7 linked regions of the Xenopus tropicalis genome follow. The protein of the gene in region 1 interacts with the protein of each later gene in a biochemical or structural test. Links are inferred from orthologs where the notes say so. Each region holds a gene or a part of one and is shown in the gene's direction. Other genes may lie near its edges. The genes, in order: sntb1, gucy1a2, tanc1, slc16a7, asnsd1, frmpd4 and mapk12.

Region 1 (4,102 bases):
CCCAGGCTTCCCCAAGTTTCGCTCCGCCCCGCAGGAATCGGCAGCAGAGAGATTAGTTGGCACCGGGACTGCCCGGAGAAGGTCCTGCCCGCACCCACTGGCTATGGGATCCAGAGCCCGGGCATGGCGGTAGCTGCAGCAGGAGCGCTCCGGAGCGGCTGGCTGGAAGTGCTGGTGCGGGGCCGCTGGCACAAAGTTCTGGGCAACTTGTATGAGAGCTCCCTGGTACTGAGCAGCCCGGAGCGGCCGGAGGATGCCCCCAGCTCTAACGGCATGACCAATGGCACCAACAGCAGCCCCCAGGGGGTCCGGACTGCCTTCACCGAACTGCCCGACACCGTGCCGGAGGCCATTGCCAACAAGAAGAGGGCAGTCAAGGTGGTCAAGCAGGAGCTGTGTAGGGCCGAGTGTATTGCCCAGTGTAGGGCCGAGTGTATTGCCCAGTGTAGGGCCCAGTGTATTGCCCAGTGTAGGGCCCAGTGTATTGCCCAGTGTATTGCCCAGTGTAGGGCCCAGTGTAGGGCCCAGTGTATTTCCCTGTGTAGGGCCGAGTGTGGGGCCCAGTGTAGGGCCGAGTGTGGGGCCCAGTGTATTTCCCTGTGTAGGGCCGAGTATGGGGCCCAGTGTAGGGCCCAGTGTATTTCCCTGTGTAGGGCCGAGTGTGGGGCCCAGTGTAGGGCCGAGTGTAGGGCCCAGTGTGGGGCCCAGTGTGGGGCCCAGTGTATTTCCCTGTGTAGGGCCGAGTGTGGGGCCCAGTGTAGGGCTGAGTATGGGGCCCAGTGTAGGGCCCAGTGTATTTCCCTGTGTAGGGCCGAGTGTGGGGCCCAGTGTAGGGCCGAGTGTAGGGCCGAGTGTAGGGCCCAGTGTATTTCCCTGTGTAGGGCCGAGTGTGGGGCCCAGTGTAGGGCCGAGTGTGGGGCCCAGTGTAGGGCCGAGTGTGGGGCCCAGTGTAGGGCCGAGTGTGGGGCCCAGTGTAGGGCCACAGGCAGAGGGGCATATTCCCAGCGCTGTGCGGGTTACATCGGAATCCCAGACCCCTACAGCTGCAGTTCCCCGCAGCGCCGGCAGATGTCAGTGTGCGCTATGGCTAATCCGGCAGAGCCTCTAATGAGGAAGAAGGCAGAGTGCTGCCTGGGCTCCCGGTCCGTTCCGAGCAGTAAGAAGTTAGTGCTCTGCCTTCCCTGGCACAGCCCGGTGCCCACCCTCGGCTCCACACTGGCATGTGTGACTTGTTGGCCTCTGTTGGCTCAGCGCTCCCAGGCTTCCCCAAGTTTCGCTCCGCCCCGCAGGAATCGGCAGCAGAGAGATTAGTTGGCACCGGGACTGCCCGGAGAAGGTCCTGCCCGCACCCACTGGCTATGGGATCCAGAGCCCGGGCATGGCGGTAGCTGCAGCAGGAGCGCTCCGGAGCGGCTGGCTGGAAGTGCTGGTGCGGGGCCGCTGGCACAAAGTTCTGGGCAACTTGTATGAGAGCTCCCTGGTACTGAGCAGCCCGGAGCGGCCGGAGGATGCCCCCAGCTCTAACAGCATGACCAATGGCACCAACAGCAGCCCCCAGGGGGTCCGGACTGCCTTCACCGAACTGCCCGACACCGTGCCGGAGGCCATTGCCAACAAGAAGAGGGCAGTCAAGGTGGTCAAACAGGAGCTGGGGGGGCTGGGCATCAGCATCAAGGGGGGAAAGGAAAACAAGATGCCCATTCTCATCAGCAAGATCTTCAAGGGGCTGGCAGCGGATCAGACCCAGTCCCTGTATGTGGGAGATGCCATCCTGACTGTCAACGGGCTGGATCTGAGGGATGCCACTCATGATGAGGCGGTGCAGGCACTAAAGAAGGCTGGCAGGGAGGTGATCCTGGAGGGTAAGTCTGGGCATTGGGCTATGTATGTGATATAGGCTGGTCACACAGGTGGCACTCACATTCACATTCTTCTACTTTCAGTCTTGTGTATGGCAGCAACCTTGTAGCACAAATATAGGGGTGTCCTACCCACAGGGTGTCTGTAATGTGCCACAGATTCACCAACACTGACTGTACAGCTAGCACAGCAACTTCTATACTTATAGTAGGGAAAATAGCCCCTGGGAAGGGACTGGGGCTGTGGGATAGCAGGTATAGTGGGGAGAGATGGTGCCTATAGTAGCAGTGGGATAATAGCCTCTGGGAAGGGACTGGGGCTGTGGGATAGCAGGTATAGTAGGGAGAGATGGTGCCTATAGTAGCAGTGGGGGGATAATAGCCTCTGGGAAGGGACTGGGGCTGTGGGATAGCAGGTATAGTAGGGAGAGATGGTGCCTAGAGTAGCAGTGGAGGGATAATAGCCTCTGGGAAGCGACTGGGGCTGTGGGATAGCAGGTATAGTAGGGAGAGATGGTGCCTATAGTTGCAGTGGGGGGATAGCCTCTGGGAAGGGACTGGGGCTGTGGGATAGCAGGTATAGTAGGGAGAGATGGTGCCTATAGTAGCAGTGGGGGGATAATAGCCTATGGGAAGGGACTGGGGCTGTGGGATAGCAGGTATAGTAGGGAGAGATGGTGCCTAGAGTAGCAGTGGAGGGATAATAGCCTCTGGGAAGCGACTGGGGCTGTGGGATAGCAGGTATAGTAGGGAGAGATGGTGCCTATAGTAGCAGTGGGGGGGATAATAGCCTCTGGGAAGGGACTGGGGCTGTGGGATAGCAGGTATAGTAGGGAAAGATGGTGCCTATAGTAGCAGTGGGATAATAGCCTCTGGGAAGGGACTGGGGCTGTGGGATAGCAGGTATAGTAGGGAGAGATGGTGCCTATAGTAGCAGTGGGGGGATAATAGCCTCTGGGAAGGGACTGGGGCTGTGGGATAGCAGGTATAGTAGGGAGAGATGGTGCCTATAGTAGCAGTGGGGGGATAATAGCCTCTGGGAAGGGAGTGGGGCTGTGGGATAGCAGGTATAGTAGGGAGGGATGGTGCCTATAGTAGCAGTGGGATAATAGCCTCTGGGAAGGGACTGGGGCTGTGGGATAGCAGGTATAGTAGGGAGAGATGGTGCCTATAGTAGCAGTGGGGGATAATAGCCTCTGGGAAGGGACTGGGGCTGTGGGATAGCAGGTATAGTAGGGAGAGATGGTGCCTAGAGTAGCAGTGGAGGGATAATAGCCTCTGGGAAGCGACTGGGGCTGTGGGATAGCAGGTATAGTAGGGGAGAGATGGTGCCTATAGTAGCAGTGGGGGGATAATAGCCTCTGGGAAGGGACTGGGGCTGTGGGATAGCAGGTATAGTAGGGAGAGATGGTGCCTATAGTAGCAGTGGGGGGGATAATAGCCTCTGGGAAGGGACTGGGGCTGTGGGATAGCAGGTATAGTAGGGAGAGATGGTGCCTATAGTAGCAGTGGGGGGATAATAGCCTCTGGGAAGGGACTGGGGCTGTGGGATAGCAGGTATAGTAGGGAGAGATGGTGCCTATAGTAGCAGTGGGATAATAGCCTCTGGGAAGGGACTGGGGCTGTGGGATAGCAGGTATAGTAGGGAGAGATGGTGCCTATAGTAGCAGTGGGGGGATAATAGTCTCTGGGAAGGGACTGGGGCTGTGGGATAGCAGGTATAGTAGGGAGAGATGGTGCCTATAGTAGCAGTGGGGGGATAATAGCCCCTGGGAAGGGACTGGGGCTGTGGGATAGCAGGTATAGTAGGGAGAGATGGTGCCTATAGTAGCAGTGGGGGGATAATAGTCTCTGGGAAGGGACTGGGGCTGTGGGATAGCAGGTATAGTAGGGAGAGATGGTGCCTATAGTAGCAGTGGGGGGATAATAGCCTCTGGGAAGGGACTGTGGCTGTGGGATAGCAGGTATAGTAGGGAGAGATGGTGCCTATAGTAGCAGTGGGATAATAGCCTCTGGGAAGGGACTGGGGCTGTGGGATAGCAGGTATAGTAGGGAGAGAATTTTATTAAAATATATTTAACAAATACAATAAAACAATAATTACATTTCAATCAAGCAAAAAACAAAAACCAAAAAAACATATAAATCAATATTACATCAAAAACAAAAAATACCTTCCTGCAAAGCATCTTATTTCTTACAGATCATTATAAAACACATATCAAGAGGCATCTTTATGTTTC
Region 2 (3,500 bases), on another chromosome or scaffold:
GTCTTTTGGGACATGTTTTAGTAAGTTTTTGGGCTACATAAAAATATGAAACAACCAAAACCAGAACACTTTAATCTAACCCTAGTCAAATGAGACATATTTGTGGGACTCTGAAACAATGCCATCATAGAATACTGTCCGAGGGGGCGGAAGAGGGACAGCTTTTGACATACGAATAGCTAAACACTGTTCCTAGTACCCACTAGCACTGGGGAAGGAATGAATAAATGTGAATCTCTGACGTCTAATCTTCTGTGAGGGAGTAAAGCAATTTGCCTCGCAGCAGTAGATTTCCTGATATACTAAAGTGTGCCATTCTATTTATATCCATCAGGAAGTTAGACAGATTGTTCATTATCAGCATTGAGGAGACAAACAGGTCTGACATACGACACTATGAGGGTAGAGTACCCGCCCTAGCATATGTGTTTTAGCCAGGGCTATGTCAATCATTGGTTTTGTGAATAGGAAAGCTTTGGTTGTCTGCATTAAATTCTTTTATTGCTGGAAATACAAATAGTCGCGTGTTTCAGTGTAGAATTTTTGGGCAGCTTTATAAAGGGCTGAACTAGTCAGTGGCACTTCTAGCCTTCCTGGCAATGCCACCCCAACTTCTACTGTGCCAAAACAGGGGGCACTGGGTGCGGTATTGCTTGGGTAGAGAACTTAATTATAAAAATAGCAGAATTCTGGTTTCAAAAAATGTATATTTTGCTCTTAAAGTTATCAGGGTGATTATAAGGCTGATTTGTAATTAATACAGATAATTCCAACATGGCATCTCTGAAACCAGTGCAATTAGCATCAGAATTTAATGATCAGCCCTGTAACAGCAGCTTATATGACAGGCCAGCCTCATTTTCTGCTTGATGATTTGCGACTGCTGCTCAGAGCGCACTGAGCATGTGCAGTGTCCCAGAATGTTCTAACAGAATCCAGGATGGAGAGCTCCAGTGACAACTGTAAAGACCTAGATCCTTACTACTATAGAGATGCTGAAACTTTAAGCCAGTGCAGTAAGTTTAGTATATAAAATATGACCAATTTCTAGCCATATTTATCTTTAGGGTTTAGTTCTCCTTTAAATGGAGCATACATTAATTGCAATCCCATCCAAAAATCAATATTAAACAGCCTAATTGCCATTTTTTACTCTATTTTCTCTACAAAGGGGCTGCCATATTTGTGCAGCCATAATCTGTTAGCATTAGAAGCTGTAACTGTCAGGATGAGGAATTTCATGTAACAATTACAGGTATGGGATCTGTTATCCAGAATGCTTGGGACCTGGGGTTTTCCAGATAAGGGATTTTTCAGTAATTTGGACATTAAATAAAGCAAATGGGCTTGTTTTTCCTCCAATATGGATTAATTGTATCTAAGTTGGGACCAAGTATTACAGAGAAAAAGGAAATCATTTATAAAAATTTAAATTATTTGATTAAAATGGAGTCTATGGGAGACAGTCTTCCCGTAATTCAGAGCTTTCTGGATAATGGGTTTCCGGACAACTGATTCCATACATGTGCTTATAAAAGCCTATCAGTGAAAAACAATCAGCATGGCCTGTGGGTAACTTTCAATGCACATTAATATTTTGATGAGTAGTTTTTTTTAGTGTCAGTGTCACTTTAAAGGTTCATAAAAACGGTTGAACTCTATGACTGTTTCCTGACATGTATCAATTGGCGAGAATGATAATGCTACTAAGAAACTCATTTTGCTTGCAGGTATAAAGTTTGAAGAACTGCAAGAGAGATTTGGTGAAGAATTCTTCAGTATCTGCTTTGAGGAGAATGAAAGGGTCCTCCGAGCAGTGGGAGGTACACTACATGACTTTTTCAATGGGTTCGATGCTTTATTGGAACACATTAGGACTTCAATTGGAAGACAGGTGACTCTTGAATCTCCATCTTTCCTATGCAAGGAGCTTGCCGACGGGACCCTACTACTTAGCTGCTTCCATCTTCATCATATTGTTGGGTTTGCCATGAAGGGTTTGATAAAGGCAGCAGGAAAGAAAATCTACCAGTTAAAGGTTGAGGTGGAACAAGTGAACAATGTGAATGAAAAACCTTGCCCCGATATCATAAGACCGGGTAACTTTAACTGTCTTACTTTTAAAATTAAAGAATGTGATAATGCAAATCTCATGAAAGCACCTCTACTGCAATCATCCCACATCCCATCAGATTTGAGGATAAGTATTAGCACTTTCTGCAGAGCTTTTCCTTTCCATTTGATGTTTGATCCAAACATGCTGATTCTGCAGCTCGGAGAAGGACTCAGGAAGCTGATAAAATGTGAGGTCCACAAAACGATGCAGTTTCATGACAGTTTCGAAATAGTGTCTCCAAAAATCAGCTGCACGTTTGAACAGGTCCTCTTGAGGCTGTCCACCCCCTTTGTCATACGGAATAAACCAGATGCACCCACCTTTGAAAATAAAGACAAGGTAAGGGGCTTATATTCTTTAACCTTCTAAAAGTACATGTGGTAAAATAAATTGTACATAATGTAAAGGATTTGTATTTCAAGAAATGAAATAAAATTGGATGGCTCAAGGACAGGTTGGTGGACAGGCCTTTATACAGGATGTGTGCATACAATTTACTTTGAGAAGATCAATATTCAAGGCATTGTATGCGGCCGTATAATGGCATGGTACCTGATACTTTGAACTTCGGAGTCTGTGGACTTTTTGTGCTCTGGTCCCCATTGGTAGAACAAACCTTTCTCAGGATCCCCTTAACCTCAAGTACCCCCCTTCAAGTTTGGTCAAATTTTCAGTGGATCGAGCCCCCTAGAGTAGGTAATATGATGATCTACAAGATCTGTGCACTTGTCTATGATGATTCTAATTCATCCAGGTCATGATATACAGTATCTAGTAGAATTAAGTCTAAAACAACTGGACTTTTCTGAGTTTTTCTTGAAAACGTTTCACCACTCATCCGAGTGGCTTCTTCAGTTCAAATGACTGGTAGGGAATTCCCCGGTACTGTACTACCATCAAGAGTTTAAATACCGGGGAATTCCCTACCACTTCTTTGAACTGAAGAAGCCACTCGGATGAGTGGTGAAACGTTTTTAAGAAAAACTCAGAAAAGTCCAGTTGTTTTAGACTTAATTTTACTAGATACTGTAAATCGTGACCTGGATGAATGAGAATCTTCATAGACAAGTACACAGATCTTGTAGATCATCAGTTGTTTTAGACTTAATTCTACTAAATACTGTATATCTGTGCACTTCCAATTGTCTACATAGTAGTACTAATTTAGTGACCAAAAATATGCAGTTTGCCCATTTATTTGTACTTTGCACATTATTTTGAATGCCTCTGAGGAAGTTAAATCAATGGCGAAATGGGTAGGGCTGCATACGTGAACTGTAAGAGGTGACTAGTCCCTTTCAGTTCTAAGTAGACAGTTACCCCCATATGTAGTTAAAGGTACTAAGTTTTCCCAGGAGTAGTAGCCCATAGCAACCAATAAGAT
Region 3 (4,217 bases), on another chromosome or scaffold:
CACCCATTAGGGCTGATTCACTAAAGTGCGTTAAAACATGCGTTATTTATAGCATGCATAAAAAATGTTATCGCGTCTAATTTTTCGCGTCTTAGCGCACGATTCACTAAAAGGATATTTGCGCTAATTTACGCGCGATACTGCTTGCGTTATTTTAGTCACGAAGACTATTTTCATGCAGTATTTGATGGAACGAGCGCTAATCAACGCACCGCGTATAAATAGTTGCCGCGTGTGAAAAAACGCACGCCATGTTAGCCGTACATGCCAATACTTTCGGAAAATTACTGTACTGAAAATGCCCATTTCCCTGCAAACTGGCGGCTGCATCACTCTGGGGCCAACACAGACTTGAATAAATCTCACTGCAAAGTCCATATTGTGTTGCCAAAAGCTCATTAACTGTACTTTTCTATAATTACCGCCTGCCTCAAGTAGGTGTTAATTTTCGCACAGACTAATGCGATATTTAGCGTGTCTCAGTGTTTGTGAATCATGCGTTAGTATTTATTTCTGCTTGCAAATTAACGCATGCGGTAGCGCGAAATTTAACGCATGCGATATGCGACTTAATGCACGCGATACTATTGTAGCGAATTGCGTGTTCATTTTTGTGTCTATTTTAACGCAAAAAAGCATGTGATAAAAATTAACGCACTTTAGTGAATCAACCCTATTGGCTTTTGTTGTCTAATTCCCGTGACTTCTAGAAGGAAACTTATAGTTACCATAACTGGAAGTGGAGTGGATCAGGGCTCTAGAACCTGTGGCAAGAAATGAGGTCCAGGAGCCGCTCCTCTATCCAGTTGTAGTGAATAAACCTAATTTACCATGATGCAACCTAGTGATGGTCAGCATTGGCCCAAATTCCTCAGCTTTACCGCAACCAGTATCATGGAGATCCCTATTGCTGGCATCAGTGACAGGGAGGGATCCTATTATAAGGGCAGGCACAGGAACTAAAGCAACAGGTCCAACTGACCCAAGCCAAGCCATTGACCTAAGCAGCCCATAGGAGGACCTGGCACACTGGGAACCAATTTGTCTATTGTACAGCAGCAGTTTACCTTGAATGAAATGTTAGCTTGATGCATGTTGTATTCAGAAATGTAAAACAAAATGACAATGGCATTACATATCCTGTGCATCCAGGGACAGAGTAGTCAGAATTTGTTTTAAAGTAAACTCTCCTATGAAGGAGTATAATATAATATTTTGTGCTGATTCCTGAGAGGTGGGGAAGCAGATTGTGCTGCACTGGCCTTTCCTTGTTCGGGTGTAGCTCTCAGAGCTTTGGCATCTGATACAAGACATGCAAATGGGAGTCATTTTAAGTTCCGCTTCCCATAAAGCTGCTGTTTCCCCCGGGGGAAGTTCTGTCACTGTCACAGTGTAATATTTACTTATCCAAACAGCTCCCACCGACTCCCCCCTCAGGCACCTCTGCCTTTCACTCTGCCTTTAGCTCTACCCTTAGCTCTGGGCTGTGCCCGATAGCTGGATGCGCCACCTATGGTTGCTGTTGGTACTGCAGGAGGCGGTGCGCTGGTGGGAGAGTTGCGCTCTCTGAAAGCCGCCTGGTGGGACAGTTCTGCCGGAGGGAGACGGGCTGAATCCGGCGGGATTAGCTGCTGTGCGCTGGGAGGGAGGGAGACCAGGAGCCTAAGGAGGAGGAATAGCGGCACCGGAGAGAAGTCCGGAGTATAGGGACACGAAAAGAGCCGACTGTCGTGGCGGCGGGAGAGGGTAGAAAGTTAGGAAGGAAAGGTAAGAAAAAGTGATGATTTGCTGCTGCCACTGTGGGGCAGGGGAGAAATAGAAGGCAGGGGAAGGTACGGGAGCAGTCAGAATGTAGGCAGGGAAAGTACGCGAAAAGTGAGTATAAATGGCCGGGAAAGTTGGGTAATACTGTAGGGAGGGCAGAATTGTGGGAAGGGAAAGGTGAGGGGCAATTGATGGCAGTGTAAGTAGGGGATAAGGATACGTAATAGTGTCGGTAGGAGAAGGGGAAGTGTGGGCAGGGGAGAAATAACTGTGTGGGCAGGGAGTTATGGGGATAAGTACTGATAGCATGGGCAGGTAGGTAGGGGGAAATAACTGTGTGGGCAGGGAGTTATGGGGATAAGTACTGATAGCATGGGCAGGTAGGTAGGTAGGGGAGAAATAACTGTGTGGGCAGGGAGTTATGGGGATAAGTACTGATAGCATGGGCAGGTAGGTAGGGGGAAATAACTGTGTGGGCAGGGAGTTATGGGGATAAGTACTGATAGCATGGGCAGGTAGGTAGGGGGAAATAACTGTGTGGGCAGGGAGTTATGGGGATAAGTACTGATAGCATGGGCAGGTAGGTAGGTAGGGAGAAATAACTGTGTGGGCAGGGAGTTATGGGGATAAGTACTGATAGCATGGGCAGGTAGGTAGGTAGGGAGAAATAACTGTGTGGGCAGGGAGTTATGGGGATAAGTACTGATAGCATGGGCAGGTAGGTAGGTAGGGAGAAATAACTGTGTGGGCAGGGAGTTATGGGGATAAGTACTGATAGCATGGGCAGGTAGGTAGGAGGGGAATAACTGTGGGGGCAGGGAGTTATGGGGATAAGTACTGATAGCATGGGCAGGTAGGTAGGGGGGGAATAACTGTGGGGGCAGGGAGTTATGGGGATAAGTACTGATAGCATAGGTAGGTAGGTAGGGGGGAAATAACTGTGTGGGCAGGGAGTTATGGGGATAAGTACTGATAGCATAGGTAGGTAGGTAGGTAGGTAGGTAGGGGGGAAATAACTGTGTGGGCAGGGAGTTATGGGGATAAGTACTGATAGCATAGGTAGGTAGGTAGGTAGGGAGAAATAACTGTGTGGGCAGGGAGTTATGGGGATAAGTACTGATAGCATGGGCAGGTAGGTAGGGAGAAATAACTGTGTGGGCAGGGAGTTATGGGGATAAGTACTGATAGCATGGGCAGGTAGGTAGGTAGGGAGAAATAACTGTGTGGGCAGGGAGTTATGGGGATAAGTACTGATAGCATGGGCAGGTAGGTAGGGAGAAATAACTGTGTGGGCAGGGAGTTATGGGGATAAGTACTGATAGCATGGGCAGGTAGGTAGGGGGGGAATAACTGTGGGGGCAGGGAGTTATGGGGATAAGTACTGATAGCATAGGTAGGTAGGTAGGGGGGAAATAACTGTGTGGGCAGGGAGTTATGGGGATAAGTACTGATAGCATAGGTAGGTAGGTAGGTAGGGGGGAAATAACTGTGTGGGCAGGGAGTTATGGGGATAAGTACTGATAGCATAGGTAGGTAGGTAGGTAGGGGGGAAATAACTGTGTGGGCAGGGAGTTATGGGGATAAGTACTGATAGCATGGGCAGGTAGGTAGGTAGGGGAGAAATAACTGTGGGCAGGGAGTTATGGGGATAAGTACTGATAGCATGGGCAGGTAGGTAGGTAGGGGGGAAATAACTGTGTGGGCAGGGAGTTATGGGGATAAGTACTGATAGCATGGGCAGGTAGGTGGGCAGGGGAGAAATAACTGTGTGGGCAGGGAGTTATGGGGATAAGTACTGATAGCATGGGCAGGTAGGTAGGTAGGGGAGAAATAACTGTGTGGGCAGGGAGTTATGGGGATAAGTACTGATAGCATGGGCAGGTAGGTAGGTAGGGGAGAAATAACTGTGTGGGCAGGGAGTTATGGGGATAAGTACTGATAGCATGGGTAGGTAGGTAGGGGAGAAATAACTGTGTGGGCAGGGAGTTATGGGGATAAGTACTGATAGCATTGGCAGGTAGGTAGGCAGGGGAGAAATCCAGCAGGGCATATGGGTGGAAGGGACAGTGGGTGGGTGGCACCAACATTACACCTATTATATACGGAAAGGGGTAGGGGTGTCTGGGGGCTGTCAGGATAACTTTCCTGGAGATATTTTTTTATTATTGCGCAAGGGCAATTTACCCTTACTAATGAGGCATTAGAGCAGATTCACCATTCTCCTTTTTGTATCTTTTCCCTTACACCAACTTTTCCTCCACTAATTGGCAAGGAGCAAACCAGGATATCTGCATTTATCAGTGCTCATGTTAATGTCTCATTAGTAAATGCAATTAACTCGCTGCAATTTTATCATTTTCTTTAATAGAATTGCACCTCCTCCCATCGGTCTGTTGCCTCCAGGCTGGGCAGTGTGCTGCTATAAGAGCTTGGAGATCCAGTGCCCAAACAGT
Region 4 (3,500 bases), on another chromosome or scaffold:
ATAGAAACTTATGCCCAGTTTGGGCTATTTGGTAAAAAAAGAAGCTTTCAGGAAAGCTTTCTTCCTTGAACAAATGGTTATGTTGCCACTCAAACAAAACAATAAATAATCTCATAACCTTTTAGAGGTAACTACTACTTTGGTCTTACTGTGAAATAATCCATAAGTGAGTAGCTCTTTAGAGGTATTGCTTGTTTTATAACTTTGCAGAAGAATTTACCACTGACATGTTTGTATGGAATCCTTCACAGGTAAGCATACGCATTTCTCATTTAAAGAATAAAATATTTTGGTATAGAAGTTGTGAATGACCCTTTGTGTCAAGTAATTAAAGTTTACATTGCTGTTTACATAAAGCTATGCTTCATATTTTCTATTTTTAAAACATCAGAATATGATTTTTTTTTCAGAAAAAGGATTATTATATACCTCTTAATGTTCTCTGGAACAGTCAGAACTGTGAATCATCTTGGGCATTGGTAGGCATAATTGGGCAAGACAAATGATATCCGGTGTTTTGACTCTTCTTCAGGCTCACTCACCTTCCAAAAATCAAACAATAAAAGAAAAGCAACTCTTATAGTGTTGTATTTTTCCTTATTAGTTATGTAACCAGATATGTAGATTTAACAATTTTTCTAATGGACACCAGTGGGTTTATATACCACCTACAGGGTAGGGTTATTATATTGCACCATAGTTACACGTGTAACTATGTTTGAGAGCTTAAAGACCACTAACTGCTGGCTGGGGCATTAACAAAATTGGGATGTTTTTCTGATATGCATTTACAACTCAACTAAAATGTTGTGTAATTTTAATCTAAAATAGAATTTTTAAAAGGTATTTTACACTATTTTAGCATTTTATGTATTACACCTATAATCATAAGGTTAAAAGGGGGATCCAATAAAGAAGATTTAATTCAGTTTATCCTGAAATTGAAAGATCTGCATAGTCAAGGGGATAATGAATACTGCCCATTGAAACCTATATGAGGTTATGAAGCAGTAACCCCTAGCAACCAGTTAGCAGGTAGCAATTACTAGTCACCAGGTGGAAAGCAAACATATTCTGTAAATACACATCTACCATCAGTGGATGGTAAGATATATATAATTAACTCTGGTGGCATAGTATAACAACCCTACTCTGGAGGTGGTATAAAAACTCACTGGTGTCCATTAGAAAGACAATGTCAAATCTAGACATCTGGTTACATAACTAATAAGGAGAAATACTATACTACACTATAAGACTTAATTGCTGGCCTTTCTCTTAAGCTTTTCAAAATGCTGGCTAGATTTAATAACTATTGACACTGAAAAGTAGGCAAGAGCTAGAAGGACTGGGGACATGACTTAAAATATCTTGATTTTTATGCCTGGAATACTGGGGGACTCTAATATTAGGGTTATGCTCAATGAAGAATTTCCAACTAAGATGTGTTTTATTATTTTACCCCACAGGTTTTGGATTAGCATTTAATCTTCAGCCTTCTTTAACAATTATCGGAAAGTATTTCTTCAAAAAGCGCCCCATAGCAAATGGACTTGCCATGGCTGGGAGTCCCGTGTTTTTAAGCACTTTGGCTCCACTGAATCAATTTCTTTTTAATCAATTTGGATGGCGGGGTAGCTTTCTAATCTTAGGAGGTCTTCTGTTAAACTGCTGTGTGGCTGGCTCCCTCATGAGGCCAATTGGACCAAAGCCTGTGAAAAAAGATATTGAAAAAGCACCAAAGGATGATGAAAACCACAAGAAAAAAGAATCTGTTTGTCAAAGCATCAACAAATACTTAGATTTATCACTTTTTAAGCACAGGGGATTTCTAATTTATTTATCTGGAAATGTTATCATGTTTATTGGCTTTTTTGCTCCTATTGTTTTCCTTGCCCCCTATGCAAAGCATATGGGTATAGATCAATACTCATCTGCTTTTTTGCTGTCTATCCTAGCTTTTGTAGATATGGTTGCCAGACCAACAATGGGAATGGTTGCAAACACTAGATTTATACGTCCCAGAATTCAATATTTTTTTAGCTTTGCAATTTTGTATAATGGTGTCTGCCATCTTTTATGTCCATTGGCCAATGATTACACTGGCCTAGTGATTTATGCTGTCTTTTTTGGATTTGCATTTGGAATGGTGAGCAGCGTCCTGTTTGAGACACTAATGGACATTGTAGGAGCTGCAAGATTTTCCAGCGCTGTTGGACTTACAACAATTGTGGAATGCTGCCCGGTTTTGATTGGGCCTCCATTAGGAGGTAAGAATTCCTGTTGATTAAAAAAAAATATATATATATATATATGTATACAGCATATTATGACAAAGGGTTTATAGATTAACCAGTGATTTTCCAGTAATGTTTCAGTAAAACATAGTATAATAGAATATTCATTTCACATCTAAATTAACACTTTGATCTAATTCTGCTGAGCAATAATGAAAGCCGCAAAAAAGTCTAAACTTAAGAACAACAACGTTTCTTGCTCTATTCACCCAAGGCACTTTACGGCAAGACGTAGTCAGTGTGTTTCCCATTGCAGTATCTACAAATAGAAGGGGCTGGCAACTTAAATACATTTTGACACTTTCCCTCTTTTTCTATAAGCAGTGATTTGGCTTTTGAAGTCAGTTTTTCCCAAAGTACTAGGATATTCAGACTTTTAAAAGTAATGCAATGTAGTTTCTGAGGTTAAGGGTGCTTTAAATATTGCAGTTCTTCTTGAGAGGGTTGTGGCTAAGAACACCTTGGGGTTTATACACTTAAATGAGAAGGAAATACATTTTGGCATTTTATTGCAAATAGATTAACCACAATAATGCAAGCTAGAATGCTATATTTATTCTGCAGAAAGCTTTACCATACCTGACTAAACAGCCCTAGAAGTTCCCTGTATTTGCTTAAGATAGGAGCTGCCATTTTAGCTTGGTCTTAGTAGCTTCCATGGTGCAGCTCTAGCTGCTGATAGCTCAGTTTACACAGAGATGGGAGGTGGGAGCAAATTTTGATGGGAGGGAGAGGAGGAAAAGGGAGGGGGAGAGAGGAGCAAGATGAGCAGACTCGTGCCCATGCACTGAAGGATTTTTAAAAGTGTAAAAATTTGACCACTTGGCACTGTTTTCCCAAAATAGTGTTTTGTTTTGTTTTTTACAGAATGTCTCCACAAAAATTGCACCAACAATACAGAATTGGTTGTGTAATATATGTTATTTACGAACCAGCAGAATATTCCTGCTCCTATTTTTTTTCTCCTAAACTCCTCTCCTGAGCTCTGCTTAAAGGAACAGTAACATCAAAAAATTAAAGTGCTTTAAAGTAATTAAAATATAATGTGCTGTTGCTCTGCAAAAAACTGGTGTTTTTGCTACAGAAAAGCTACTATATAAATAAGCTGCCGTGTAGCCATGGGGGCAGCCATTCAAGCTGGAAAAAAGGAGAAAAGGCACAGGTTACATAGCAGATAACTAGTAGATAAGCCCCATATAATGG
Region 5 (3,500 bases), on another chromosome or scaffold:
GACACTCAGATAATGTTTCAGCACCTCTCTAAATGTGATGATGAATCCAAAATCATGTCTCTCTTTGCTAAGGTGAAAGGTCCATGGGCCTTTATCTACTATCAGGCTAACTATCACCAATTATGGTTTGGAAGAGATTTTTTTGGTAGGAGGAGTCTTTTATGGAAATTCACTGACGATTTAAACAAGGTTTTCTCTCTAAGTTCAGTATCAGAGTGCAGGTCTGAATCAGACTCTGATGATTGGCAGGAAGTTCCAGCATCTGGACTCTTCAGATGTGACCTACAGTCAAGTGCCAAGTTAAAATATATAGAATTAACATGGTATCCCTGGAAGACTGCTTCAGATATTCTGCCAACAAAAGAATCTCAGATTTTAAAATCTTCCTCTTTAGTTTCTATTGTACTTGGAAAAAGTAAATGGTTAACTGCTCCAGTTTCTCCATTAAATAAACAGATCCCTGAAGAGTTTAAAAAATCGCATAACATCAGTTCTCAAAACAAAACTGCTGTAGAACATCTTAGGATGCTGGCCACAGACCAACACAAAAAAAATGCTCAGTCTCTTATAAAAATTTTAAGTGAAGCTGTAAAGAGAAGGGTTTTATGTCTTCAGCGAGAATGTAATTTAATGTCAAATTCTGAAAAAAATGCAAATGTTGCAATCCTGTTTTCTGGTGGTATTGACTCAATGATTTTAGCAGTGCTTGCAGATCATCATGTTCCACCCGAGGAACCTATTGACCTTCTCAATGTTGCCTTCATGATGAAAGAACAAAAATCCAGTGGTTTAAAAAAACACCTACCTAAGTGTACTTTGCAAATTGCAAACCCTGACCGTCCTACTTCGTATTCTCAATTTGATGTTCCTGATCGTATCACTGGCAGGTCAGGTTTCGAAGAGCTCAAAGCTTTAAACCCATCAAGAACTTGGAATTTTGTGGAAATTAATGTTACACTACAAGAACTCCAGGAAATGAGGCAACACCGCATTTGTTATTTGGTACGACCTCTCAGTACTGTTTTAGATGATAGTATTGGCTGTGCTGTCTGGTTTGCTTCAAGAGGAATAGGTATGCTGACGAGTAATAATGAGATGAAGCCCTACAATAGCACGTCAAAGGTAATAATCCAAATAACCTAAAACATTATTGAGGGAAAGAAAACAGCCACTTTTAAATGCTACAATTTATTGGGCTAAATACAAAGCACACTACAGGTGTGGGATCTCTTATACAGAAAGCTCAAAATTATGGGAAGGCCATAATTTGTTTGTTTTCTGGTGGTTCTCTACAATGTGCAGAGGGGAATATGTGAAATGGGATAGCTTTGTATTAGCCAGCCTATGAATATCTAATAATCCCAGGCAGCAGTGTTTATTTTTGTACAGTAAAATAATTAGCACAGTAGGCTATAAACATAATAGAACACAAAACATGTACATAGTGCTTATTATACGGCAAATCACCAGTATAAACAGCTAAATCTAGACACTGATTTTACAGTTTACAAATTTAGAAGGGCATAGTGTGTTTTTATGGGTTTTCCCTATTGTGTAGCTGAGTATAGCTAAAGGGATTTGCTTTTATTATTGCATAATATTGGGTACCAACAATCTATAATGATGATTTTACCCATGCCCCAGATGCAATTACTAAAGCACCAAGAAGTGCAATATTTTGCCTCTTAGGGCTCATTTACTGAGCACTTACGACTGGACCATTGCGGTGATCTGCACCTTTTTGAAAATTGTAAGTCTGTATAATGTGCTAGTTAGGCAGTGTGGTGGGAGTTGTGCCTCCCCAGCCTACTCCTTATGAATAAAATACAAAGCTGATCAGGGACCGGTACAATTGGCACCTTGGGGTCAGGAAAGAATTTTTCTCCTTTCAGATGGTGTTTTCCCTTCCTCTGGGTCAACAGTTTATTTAGACAAATAGGTTAAACTTTATGGACATATGTGCTTATTCAACATAAATTACTAATTTTTTTACTTCAACATTAATGTGTGATTCTTTGGCATAAATCACAGCAACGAGAAATCGCAATTCTGTTATTTTTACTTAACTTTCTCTCTAGGTTGTGCTAACAGGGATTGGTGCAGATGAGCAACTTGGTGGCTATTCTCGTCACCGTGTAAGATTTAATAGTCTTGGGTATGAGGGTCTCGTGGAAGAACTGAGCTTGGAACTGGACCGAATTGCTTACAGAAACCTTGGTCGGGATGACCGTGTCATTGGGGACCACGGAAAAGAAGCAAGGTAGGTTGCAAACCTAGACTATTTATTTTACAGTATGACTATTGGATCAGGTATTCTTTTTTTTTTTTGTAACTTATATTTTTATTAGGTTTTGACAGTGTTGATTGTACAGTAACAATAACAAAAAATAAACATATATATGTTAACAGTGCAGTCTGGTAGAGTTATGAAAGATATACAGTGGTGTGAAAAACTATTTGCCCCCTTCCTGATTTCTTATTCTTTTGCATGTTTGTCACACTTAAATGTTTCTGCTCATCAAACACATTTAACTATTAGTCAAAGATAACACAAGTAAACACAAAATGCAGTTTTTAAATGAGGGTTTTTATTATTTAGGGAGAAAAAAAATCCAAACCTATATGGCCCTGTGTGAAAAAGTAATTGCCCCCTGAACCTAATAACTGGTTGGGCCACCCTTAGCAGCAATAACTGCAATCAAGCATTTGCGATAACTTGCAACGAGTCTTTTACAGCGCTCTGGAGGAATTTTGGCCCACTCATCTTTGCAGTATTGTTGTAATTCAGCTTTATTTGAGGGTTTTCTAGCATGAACCGCCTTTTTAAGGTCATGCCACAACATCTCAATAGGATTCAGGTCAGGACTTTGACTAGGCCACTCCAAAGTCTTCATTTTGTTTTTCTTCAGCCATTCAGAGGTGGATTTGCTGGTGTGTTTTGGGTCATTGACCTGCTGCAGCACCCAAGATCGCTTCAGCTTGAGTTGACGAACAGATGGCCGGACATTCTCCTTCAGGATTTTTTGGTAGACAGTAGAATTCATGGTTCCATCTATCACAGCAAGCCTTCCAGGTCCTGAAGCAGCAAAACAACCCCAGACCATCACACTACCACCACCATATTTTACTGTTGGTATGATGTTCTTTTTCTGAAATGCTGTGTTATTTTTACGCCAGATGTAACGGGACATGCACCTTCCAAAAAGTTCAACTTTTGTCTCGTCGGTCCACAAGGTATTTTCTCAAAAGTCTTGGCAATCATTGAGATGTTTTTTAGCAAAATTGAGACGAGCCATAATGTTCTTTTTGCTTAAAAGTGGTTTGCGCCTTTTTTGCCCAGTGTCTTTCTTATGGTGGAGTCGTGAACACTGACCTTAATTGAGGCAAGTGAGGCCTGCAGTTCTTTAGATGTTGTCCTGGGGTTTTTTGTGGCCTCTCGGATGAGTTGTCTTTGCGCTCTTGGGGGAATTTTGGTCGGCCGGCCACTCCTGGGAAGGTTC
Region 6 (3,235 bases), on another chromosome or scaffold:
AACCAAACAGACATTCTCAGCATGTCTGGATCTAGTGATGACATCATAGACCTGACATCACTTCCTCCACCCGAAGGCGATGATAATGAAGATGATTTTTTGTTGCATTCGCTGAATATGGCGATTGCTGCTCCACCACCTGGATTTCGGGACAGTTCAGATGAAGAAGACTGTCAGAATTTGTCGAAACCCTCTGGAGCAGCTAACAGTATATCTCATGATGATATCCCTGTGTCTCTCATTGATGCAGTTCCTACAAACACAGATGAAAAACTTAAAACAATCCTGGAAGAAACAAGTGTTTCTGATCTTCAGACACTGCAAGATTTGACTGTCTCTGAGGAAAACCAAAGAGATGACACCTCAGGTTCTTTCACCATTGTAACTTTTATTCATTAGCATACCATTCCATCCATATGAATCATCACATATTTTTGTATTTTGTTTTTATCATGTTTCACATACAGACCACCTTTCATCGTATTCATTGGACTTAATTTTTAATTTATGTTTTTTTCACCCTAATCTTTTTTTATTAAACCGATTAAAAATATACTTAACACTTTAAATGGTATTTATGAAAAGTATAACCTTTATTAATATGCTCCTTTTTTTGTGGTGTACAGGTGTAACAATGTTAAGAGCATATAGTCCTGAGTCATCTTCTGATTCTGGTAATGAGACAAATTCTTCAGAAATGACTGAAAGTTCTGAATTAGCAACAGCACAGAAACATCCAGAAGTTTCAGCACGCACCATTTTGCCTGTTAGTGAAGATTACCAATCCCTGATGGAAGAGCAAACTGATTTTTCTGTTTCCAAGGGTCAAACAGGAAGTATAACTATCAAAGCCACACTGTCTTCAATAAATCGGCAAGCTGCGGAACTGCAATCAAAAGCTGTGCCTTCAAAACAGGTCATCCATTCGGATAACATTGAGATGGAACCAGAAACAATGGAGATAAAATCTGTGTCAGAATACTTTAATAAGGTGCACATGGGTACTCTGGTGTACTCCTGTAAAAAGAAGAACAAGCTACCAGATGCCGAGGCAAAATCGCATTTTGATGTAAATGTTATGGTTAAAAAGCAAATTGGCAAGAGACCAGAATCTGATGGTGAACTGAAATCCAAGGACTGTCAGCATCTGGCCAATTTTAACCTAGAAAGGACAGCTTTTCGTAAAGACAGTCAAAGATGGTATAATACTGCAGATAGAAGTGCAAGTGATAAGCTATCAACAGATGCTCACCATATTAAAACATTGCCAAGACTTTCTTGTGTTGGGAAAACAGAGACTGATATAATAGAAGAAATGAATGATATTACATTATCTGGACTTAAACAAGAAGATATATATATCTCAAATGCAAATTACATGTCTCCATCCAAAGAACATACTATCCCAAATGCTGATGATGCCTCAGCAGAACACATGTCTAAGCTTGTAGATCCTGGTGATAACCATATAGCCAAGAACATTTCATCTTTTCAGAGTGAGGGACATTTTTCTCTTCAGAGTTCCCAATGTTCTTCAGTGGATGCAGGATGTAGTACTGGTAGCAGTTCATGTGCAACCCCTGTGGAGTCTCCTCTGTGTACTGGTGACGTAAAACATATTCTCTGTGATGCATCAGTAAAGAGTGGTGTCTTGATTCCCCTTGATGAAAGATCTTCTATGCTTCCAAATCTTGGGGCACCATTTACAGAATTACATCAACAAACTGAAGCTGCTTGTCATAGAATGAGTGTGCCAGTTATGCATGCACCAGTCAATGCAGAGCCAGTGTTTGGCACTTTAAGAGATGGATGTCACCGTGTTTCAAAAATTAAAGAAACCACAGGTACATGACTATGTGCTTCTAATTTATTACTGCTCCCTATAAGTTTTAGTCATGTAATGGAATTCCATTTGTGAAATTTTAGTAGCTAGGATCTCAGTTAAAGAATTGTTATGGATCAGGATTATGTAAAGTTTATTGATGAAAACAATCCCCCAAAACAACAGCGGCCTTCTTTTTTTTTTCCAATCACGGTAGAGCTAACAAAACTGGCTTTAAATTAAAATGTATAACAGTTCAATTTTTCTCTAATACTGTAGTTAAAATTCTTACATTTAAAGCTGCATAAAATATATATCTACAAGGTACTGTGATTTTGCTTGGTCTCTTGACATAAGCTTTCTTTATTATCCCTTAATCTTTTTCTTAAAAAATGACATGGTTACACATATCTTAACTTAAAAATATTTATTTTTGTAAGGCTTTGGAGCATAAACATATTTTATCTAGAATTCATTTTAAAGGAGAAGGAAAGTGATTTTGGCATTTTACTGCCAATAAATTTGCCACATTAGTGCCACCTAGAACACTATATTTATTCTGCAGAAAGCATCACCATACCTGAGTAAAGAGCCCTAGAAGCTTTCTCTGTTTGTTTAAGATTTCAGCTGCCATTTTAGCTTGGTCTTCATAGCTTCCTGCTTGCAGCTCTAGCCTTTATAGCTCAGATCACACATTCCTAAGGGAGGGGGAGTGAGTTTTATGAATTCTTATGGGAGGGGGGAGCAGGAGAGAGGAGAGAACTGCGCAGACTCTGGCCAGGGAATGAAGGTTTTTTTCTGAGAGAGGATCAGATACCAGAAGAACATGTTAACAAAAAATGAGACAAGAAATCCTGTTTCTTTTGATAGAGGACCTTTCTGTGAGTGCTTATGGCTGTATTTACATAGACTTTTCTGATAAAGCTAAATTAGTTTTTACCTTTAAGAGAAGAACAGGCTGTAGTTACCGAGCCGACACAATACAATAAAATCTAGACCAATAAAAAATACATTTACAAAAGCTTTATATTAATAACTATGATGTCAATTTATTATATTAATAGCAGTTAGTCATAGGTTAATTTATTATATACTTCTGATAAAGCTAAATTAGTTTTTACCTTTAAGAAAAGAACAGGCTGTAGTTACAGAGCTGACACAATACAATAAAATCTAGACCAATAAAAAATACATTTACAAAAGCTTTATATTAATAACTATGATGTCAATTTATTATATTAATAGCAGTTAGTCAAAGGTTAATTTATTATATACTTCTTGATACAGGAGTGCAAACACACAGGATAAACAAACACAGATGGTAAATAAAGTGGCATTATCTACAGCAACTAAAGCTGAAGAAATGTGTAATACTATAGCGAAAAAATATTTATATTAAATAGATCTTCATTT
Region 7 (4,049 bases), on another chromosome or scaffold:
CAGAACACATTTGAACCCAGCTTGATAAACACACAACTTCTTGAATAAATAAAAACATATTTTTTGACAACTGTTTGATTGAATTATAAGGCATGTTAAAGGCATAAAAATGCAGCATGTTGTGTTTAAGGAAATACATTGTAACGCAGCTGTGCTAAAATGCAGATCCTGATGCAGGCGGGTACAATCAGGCAAAATAAAGCTGAATCAAATCGCACATGAGTTTAGGCGTGCTTAATCTTGCATCTCAAACACTATATAAATAGTGTAAGTTGCATGCAGGACCTGTCTGTTCAGGGTGCTGCACATGAATATAATGTATAAACTACACTACAGCATCCAAGAATATCATGCTCCCTTGGGGCTGGGCCTGGTCCCTAATGGGAAATGATAGGTCATTAAAACCTATAGTTTCTTCTGCAGCTGTCAGGCTTAGAGTTTTGACTGTTATTTGGTTGCTATGGTTTAATTACCCTGCTGACCAGGAAGTATTAATCCAACCCCTTCACCAATATTCCTTGACCCTTGCATGTGGCGTTACTAAATATCTCATTTAATCTGCATTTTTGGTTATTCTATGGGAAAATATATTATTTGTGTCCCCTTAGGCCCCTGCTGCCAGCATTATGGTCACAACCCTTTTAGCTACTAAGCTACACCCTTACTTAATATTACAATGGGACCTTTTATAGCTTGTAATTGTGTCAAAAGAGTCTGTTGCATTTATAGGAGCATAACAATAGGCTGAGTTGGCTCTTTTGCCCCAAGATTATTTGGAGCTCAGCAGGGGCCTTTAATAATGGCAATTTAAATTTACAGGTACAAAAGCCTGTTCTAGATTTGGTACACTGGGACTACAGCCACATTGAGATATTACAACTGTGTAATCTAATTTCACAGACGAACAAATAATAATTACAAATAAGCATTAGTAATAATGTAAACCGAGTCTGATAAAAACCCATTGGGGAAGAATGAATTTGTTAGGTTGAACTGCCTAGTAGTAGCAGTGGGTTATTGAATAATAATTGAATAATGGCACTTCATGCCAAGAGAGGTCATAAAGCTTCACATTGAAAAATAATGCAAAGATCGTCTTCTTGTAGCGAAGGGTCATAACACGTATGAACGTGTGAGCGAATTCCCGGCCACATAACTTCCCAAATCACTTTAGGACTGTGTCGGACTAGAGCAGTGAGTGGGTTAAGTACTAATCTGCGCACTGGAGAAGGGAGGGGAGAAGGACTGGCCGGGTCACGTGACGGCACAAAGCTCCGGGCTCTATATGGGAAATACTTCCCGTCACTGGGCAGCTACTGTGCAGGCTGAGGGTGCGGGAAATACGCACAGTGGACAAAAGGAAAACGAAAGTGGAAGGCGAGAGCTGACCGAAGAGCGAAGACGCAGAAAGAGGGGCTGGTCGGAAGAGACTGTTCTACGTAAAGAAGGCAGCCGGTCCCTCATGGTGAATAAGAGCAGGACAAGTCAGTACTGCTCACCGTGACATTACTGTACCTCTCAGGAGAGCCGCCCAGTATCAGCAGTCAGGTGACTCTGCCTGGGACCCACATTCACATAGTACTAGTGCAACAGGAGCCTGCTGGCAACTAGTAGCCATGTCCACCTCCCCGTTGCCCAAGAAGGGATACTATAGGCAGGACGTCAATAAGACCGTCTGGGAGGTGAAGGAGAGGTACAGAGACCTGGTGGCTGTGGGATCAGGAGCCTATGGCACTGTTTGGTAAGTTGCAATGCTCCAAATATTCATGAAAGTTATCATTCATTGGACCAACACCTGTGGGTTTGTGTAATCTGTGCCAGGAATCACAGGAGCGGAGCCATATGTGTGCCAGCCCCTGCAGACTGCATTGGAGTCCTATATCATTGTAGTACTGTGAGTTAGGGTTTTGTATAATGCAGTGTATTCGATTTCAACTGGCACAAACAAATGATATTGCCATAGTACTCTACATAAGTTTCTATACCTGCCAGCTATATTGCCTTCAGCTTGCAAAAATGCTTGCTGGACCTAAAATGCTGTATTATGTCTCTATTGGCAAATGGAACAAACACAAGAACAAACACAAATTGCCAAGCTCAAAAATAGCTTGTGTACAAGCTGGGTATTCTATACATGCACAGCATTGCTAAAAAATAGGTCACATTTCTATAGAGCATTTCAGTACAAGTAAATTATATTTTTTGGCACTAATTGTCTAGTGGCAGTGTAGATTGCTCCATAGGGAAATTGTTCCCTGTTTTTCTGTCTTTTCAGACATGATTTCAATAATGCTGCTGGCTCTGGTACAAACCCCCGTGTGTATAGACCCATAGCTATACCCCATGATTATGGCACCCATGTGACATTTGTGCAGTGAACATGCAGGTAAAGACATCCCTTTTACAATTCTGGGGTTTTATTTGCATGTCTGTCATGTCTTAAATGTTCACCTCACTACCCCTTGACCAACTACCAAAGGGTTATGAGCCACCAGATGGTTGTATTGTGTTGCACTTGGCATAGCTTTGTGTTCCATTTTTGCTATATAACATTTCCTTGCTGCATAGAGAATTCTAGGCATATTACCTTGTTTATATGATTCCTGCATGATTCCTATATCACTAAGGTAAATATCCACAAACTTTACATGTTTTATGCGGGTTTAGTACTGTAAAATGGTGCAGATGAAATATGCCTCTATACCATTTACAATCTAAGCCCTGTCGCACTGAATTATGTGAGAGTATCATCATAGAGCATTTTGTAGTTTAATCAAATGTTTGAAATGAGTAATTGTCTATAAAACCGTGGGGATTAGCAATAAATAGTATGTTCCCTGGGTATTTTATCTTTATAATTTAGTACATAAACATTAATTTAAAGCTAAAATGTAGTTCTCTTTGTTCAGTTACTAATGCCCTTACTGCAGATGTAGAGAGTTGTAACATTTTACAGCCACCGCAATGCTACCAAGGATAAGGTACTGTATTGTTCACAATTTCCCTTTGCTTAAGTCTGTTGAAAAACTGATTTTCTGCTTTTACAGAATTAATTATTTCACATATTTAGAACAAGCCAAACTGTTGTTGCAACCGAGCAGGGTCAGGTCCAGGTAACATTCAAATGTCCCCTGGCTGACAGAATTGGGCAGCTAGAACCATATTTAGCATTCTATAAAAAAGCAACACAAAGGGACTGTTTATTTACTTCTGAAAACACTTTAAAAAGCAGTGTAAAATAACTGACACATTTATAAAGGCTTTAATTTTATTTTACACTGCCTGTTCATAATTAACACCACCATTATTTTTATGGAATTTCCCATTTAGGTCAATGGGAAACTTCTGGCAGAGCTAGAGTGTAAAGGAAAAAGCAGCAATGGATGATGGCTATTTATTACACGGCACTTTCAAGTGGCTTATTACTAAATATCTATGCATATTTTCTAGCTCTGGACAGACCAACTGGAGGCCCACTGTCTCCAAGTGATTTTTATGACCCACTCTAGCCTGCTCAAGGTCTGCATAGATCAGTCTGTGAGACATTATTACTTCAAAATAACTGGCAGACATTGCCCCTATTAAACTGTATCTTTTAATGTGTAATGTCTTTAAAGGATTTTTATTTTTAGGTTATTTCCACAGATTTTGTTGACTGGATCCTGTACCTAGTTAAACAGGCTGCACTTATTGGGAAATGGCTAACCAAGTTTGGGTGTTTTTCAGCAAGGCTAACAGACCCCCTGCCGTATACCCTCCTCAAATCATATAATAATCAAAATTAGAGGGGATTATAGGCAGTTGGGGGATGTTCTTTTTTCCCATAAAAACAATCAACGCACCAGAGGTCACCCCTTTAGATTAGAGGAATGGAGCTTCCATTTGAAGCAGCGTAGGTGGTTTTTCACGTTGAGGGCAGTGAGGCTGTGGAATGCCCTTCCTAGTGATGTGGTAATGGCAGACTCTGTTAATGCCTTTAAGAGGTGCCTGGATGAGTTTTTGAACAAGCAGAATATCCAAGGCTATTGTGATACTAATATCTACAGTTA

What was found.
Region 2: the proteins of sntb1 (region 1) and gucy1a2 interact in a test that uses a peptide from one of them, tested with the Homo sapiens proteins (2 studies listed by IntAct, with this or other methods). The link is inferred for Xenopus tropicalis from reciprocal best matches to the Homo sapiens genes SNTB1 and GUCY1A2.
Region 3: the proteins of sntb1 (region 1) and tanc1 interact in a test that uses a peptide from one of them, tested with the Homo sapiens proteins (2 studies listed by IntAct, with this or other methods). The link is inferred for Xenopus tropicalis from reciprocal best matches to the Homo sapiens genes SNTB1 and TANC1.
Region 4: the proteins of sntb1 (region 1) and slc16a7 interact in a test that uses a peptide from one of them, tested with the Homo sapiens proteins (2 studies listed by IntAct, with this or other methods). The link is inferred for Xenopus tropicalis from reciprocal best matches to the Homo sapiens genes SNTB1 and SLC16A7.
Region 5: the proteins of sntb1 (region 1) and asnsd1 interact in a test that uses a peptide from one of them, tested with the Homo sapiens proteins (2 studies listed by IntAct, with this or other methods). The link is inferred for Xenopus tropicalis from reciprocal best matches to the Homo sapiens genes SNTB1 and ASNSD1.
Region 6: the proteins of sntb1 (region 1) and frmpd4 interact in a test that uses a peptide from one of them, tested with the Homo sapiens proteins (2 studies listed by IntAct, with this or other methods). The link is inferred for Xenopus tropicalis from reciprocal best matches to the Homo sapiens genes SNTB1 and FRMPD4.
Region 7: the proteins of sntb1 (region 1) and mapk12 interact in a test that uses a peptide from one of them, tested with the Homo sapiens proteins (2 studies listed by IntAct, with this or other methods). The link is inferred for Xenopus tropicalis from reciprocal best matches to the Homo sapiens genes SNTB1 and MAPK12.

Annotation. Positions count from the first base shown.
Region 1 is NC_030682.2:138,721,935-138,726,036, reverse strand, and holds the start of sntb1 (beta-1-syntrophin), read left to right. Parts: upstream 1-1,311; 5' UTR 1,312-1,378; coding exon 1,379-1,862; intron 1,863-4,102. Other genes in the region: uncharacterized protein LOC116411753, read left to right, coding at 124-469, 1,034-1,311. UniProt on the Homo sapiens protein: Adapter protein that binds to and probably organizes the subcellular localization of a variety of membrane proteins. May link various receptors to the actin cytoskeleton and the dystrophin glycoprotein complex.
Region 2 is NC_030678.2:160,383,158-160,386,657, forward strand, and holds part of gucy1a2 (guanylate cyclase soluble subunit alpha-2), read left to right. Parts: intron 1-1,730; coding exon 1,731-2,455; intron 2,456-3,500. UniProt on the Homo sapiens protein: Has guanylyl cyclase on binding to the beta-1 subunit. Isoform 2 acts as a negative regulator of guanylyl cyclase activity as it forms non-functional heterodimers with the beta subunits.
Region 3 is NC_030685.2:73,467,259-73,471,475, reverse strand, and holds the start of tanc1 (protein TANC1), read left to right. Parts: upstream 1-1,417; 5' UTR 1,418-1,767; intron 1,768-4,132; 5' UTR 4,133-4,217. UniProt on the Homo sapiens protein: May be a scaffold component in the postsynaptic density.
Region 4 is NC_030679.2:63,059,274-63,062,773, reverse strand, and holds part of slc16a7 (monocarboxylate transporter 2), read left to right. Parts: intron 1-1,469; coding exon 1,470-2,270; intron 2,271-3,500. UniProt on the Homo sapiens protein: Proton-coupled monocarboxylate symporter. Catalyzes the rapid transport across the plasma membrane of monocarboxylates such as L-lactate, pyruvate and ketone bodies, acetoacetate, beta-hydroxybutyrate and acetate.
Region 5 is NC_030685.2:47,714,720-47,718,219, reverse strand, and holds part of asnsd1 (asparagine synthetase domain-containing protein 1), read left to right. Parts: coding exon 1-1,122; intron 1,123-2,078; coding exon 2,079-2,260; intron 2,261-3,500.
Region 6 is NC_030678.2:106,170,728-106,173,962, reverse strand, and holds part of frmpd4 (FERM and PDZ domain-containing protein 4), read left to right. Parts: coding exon 1-367; intron 368-626; coding exon 627-1,844; intron 1,845-3,235. UniProt on the Homo sapiens protein: Positive regulator of dendritic spine morphogenesis and density. Required for the maintenance of excitatory synaptic transmission. Binds phosphatidylinositol 4,5-bisphosphate.
Region 7 is NC_030679.2:71,612,651-71,616,699, forward strand, and holds the start of mapk12 (mitogen-activated protein kinase 12), read left to right. Parts: upstream 1-1,249; 5' UTR 1,250-1,616; coding exon 1,617-1,741; intron 1,742-2,275; exon of another isoform or gene 2,276-2,386; intron 2,387-4,049. UniProt on the Homo sapiens protein: Serine/threonine kinase which acts as an essential component of the MAP kinase signal transduction pathway.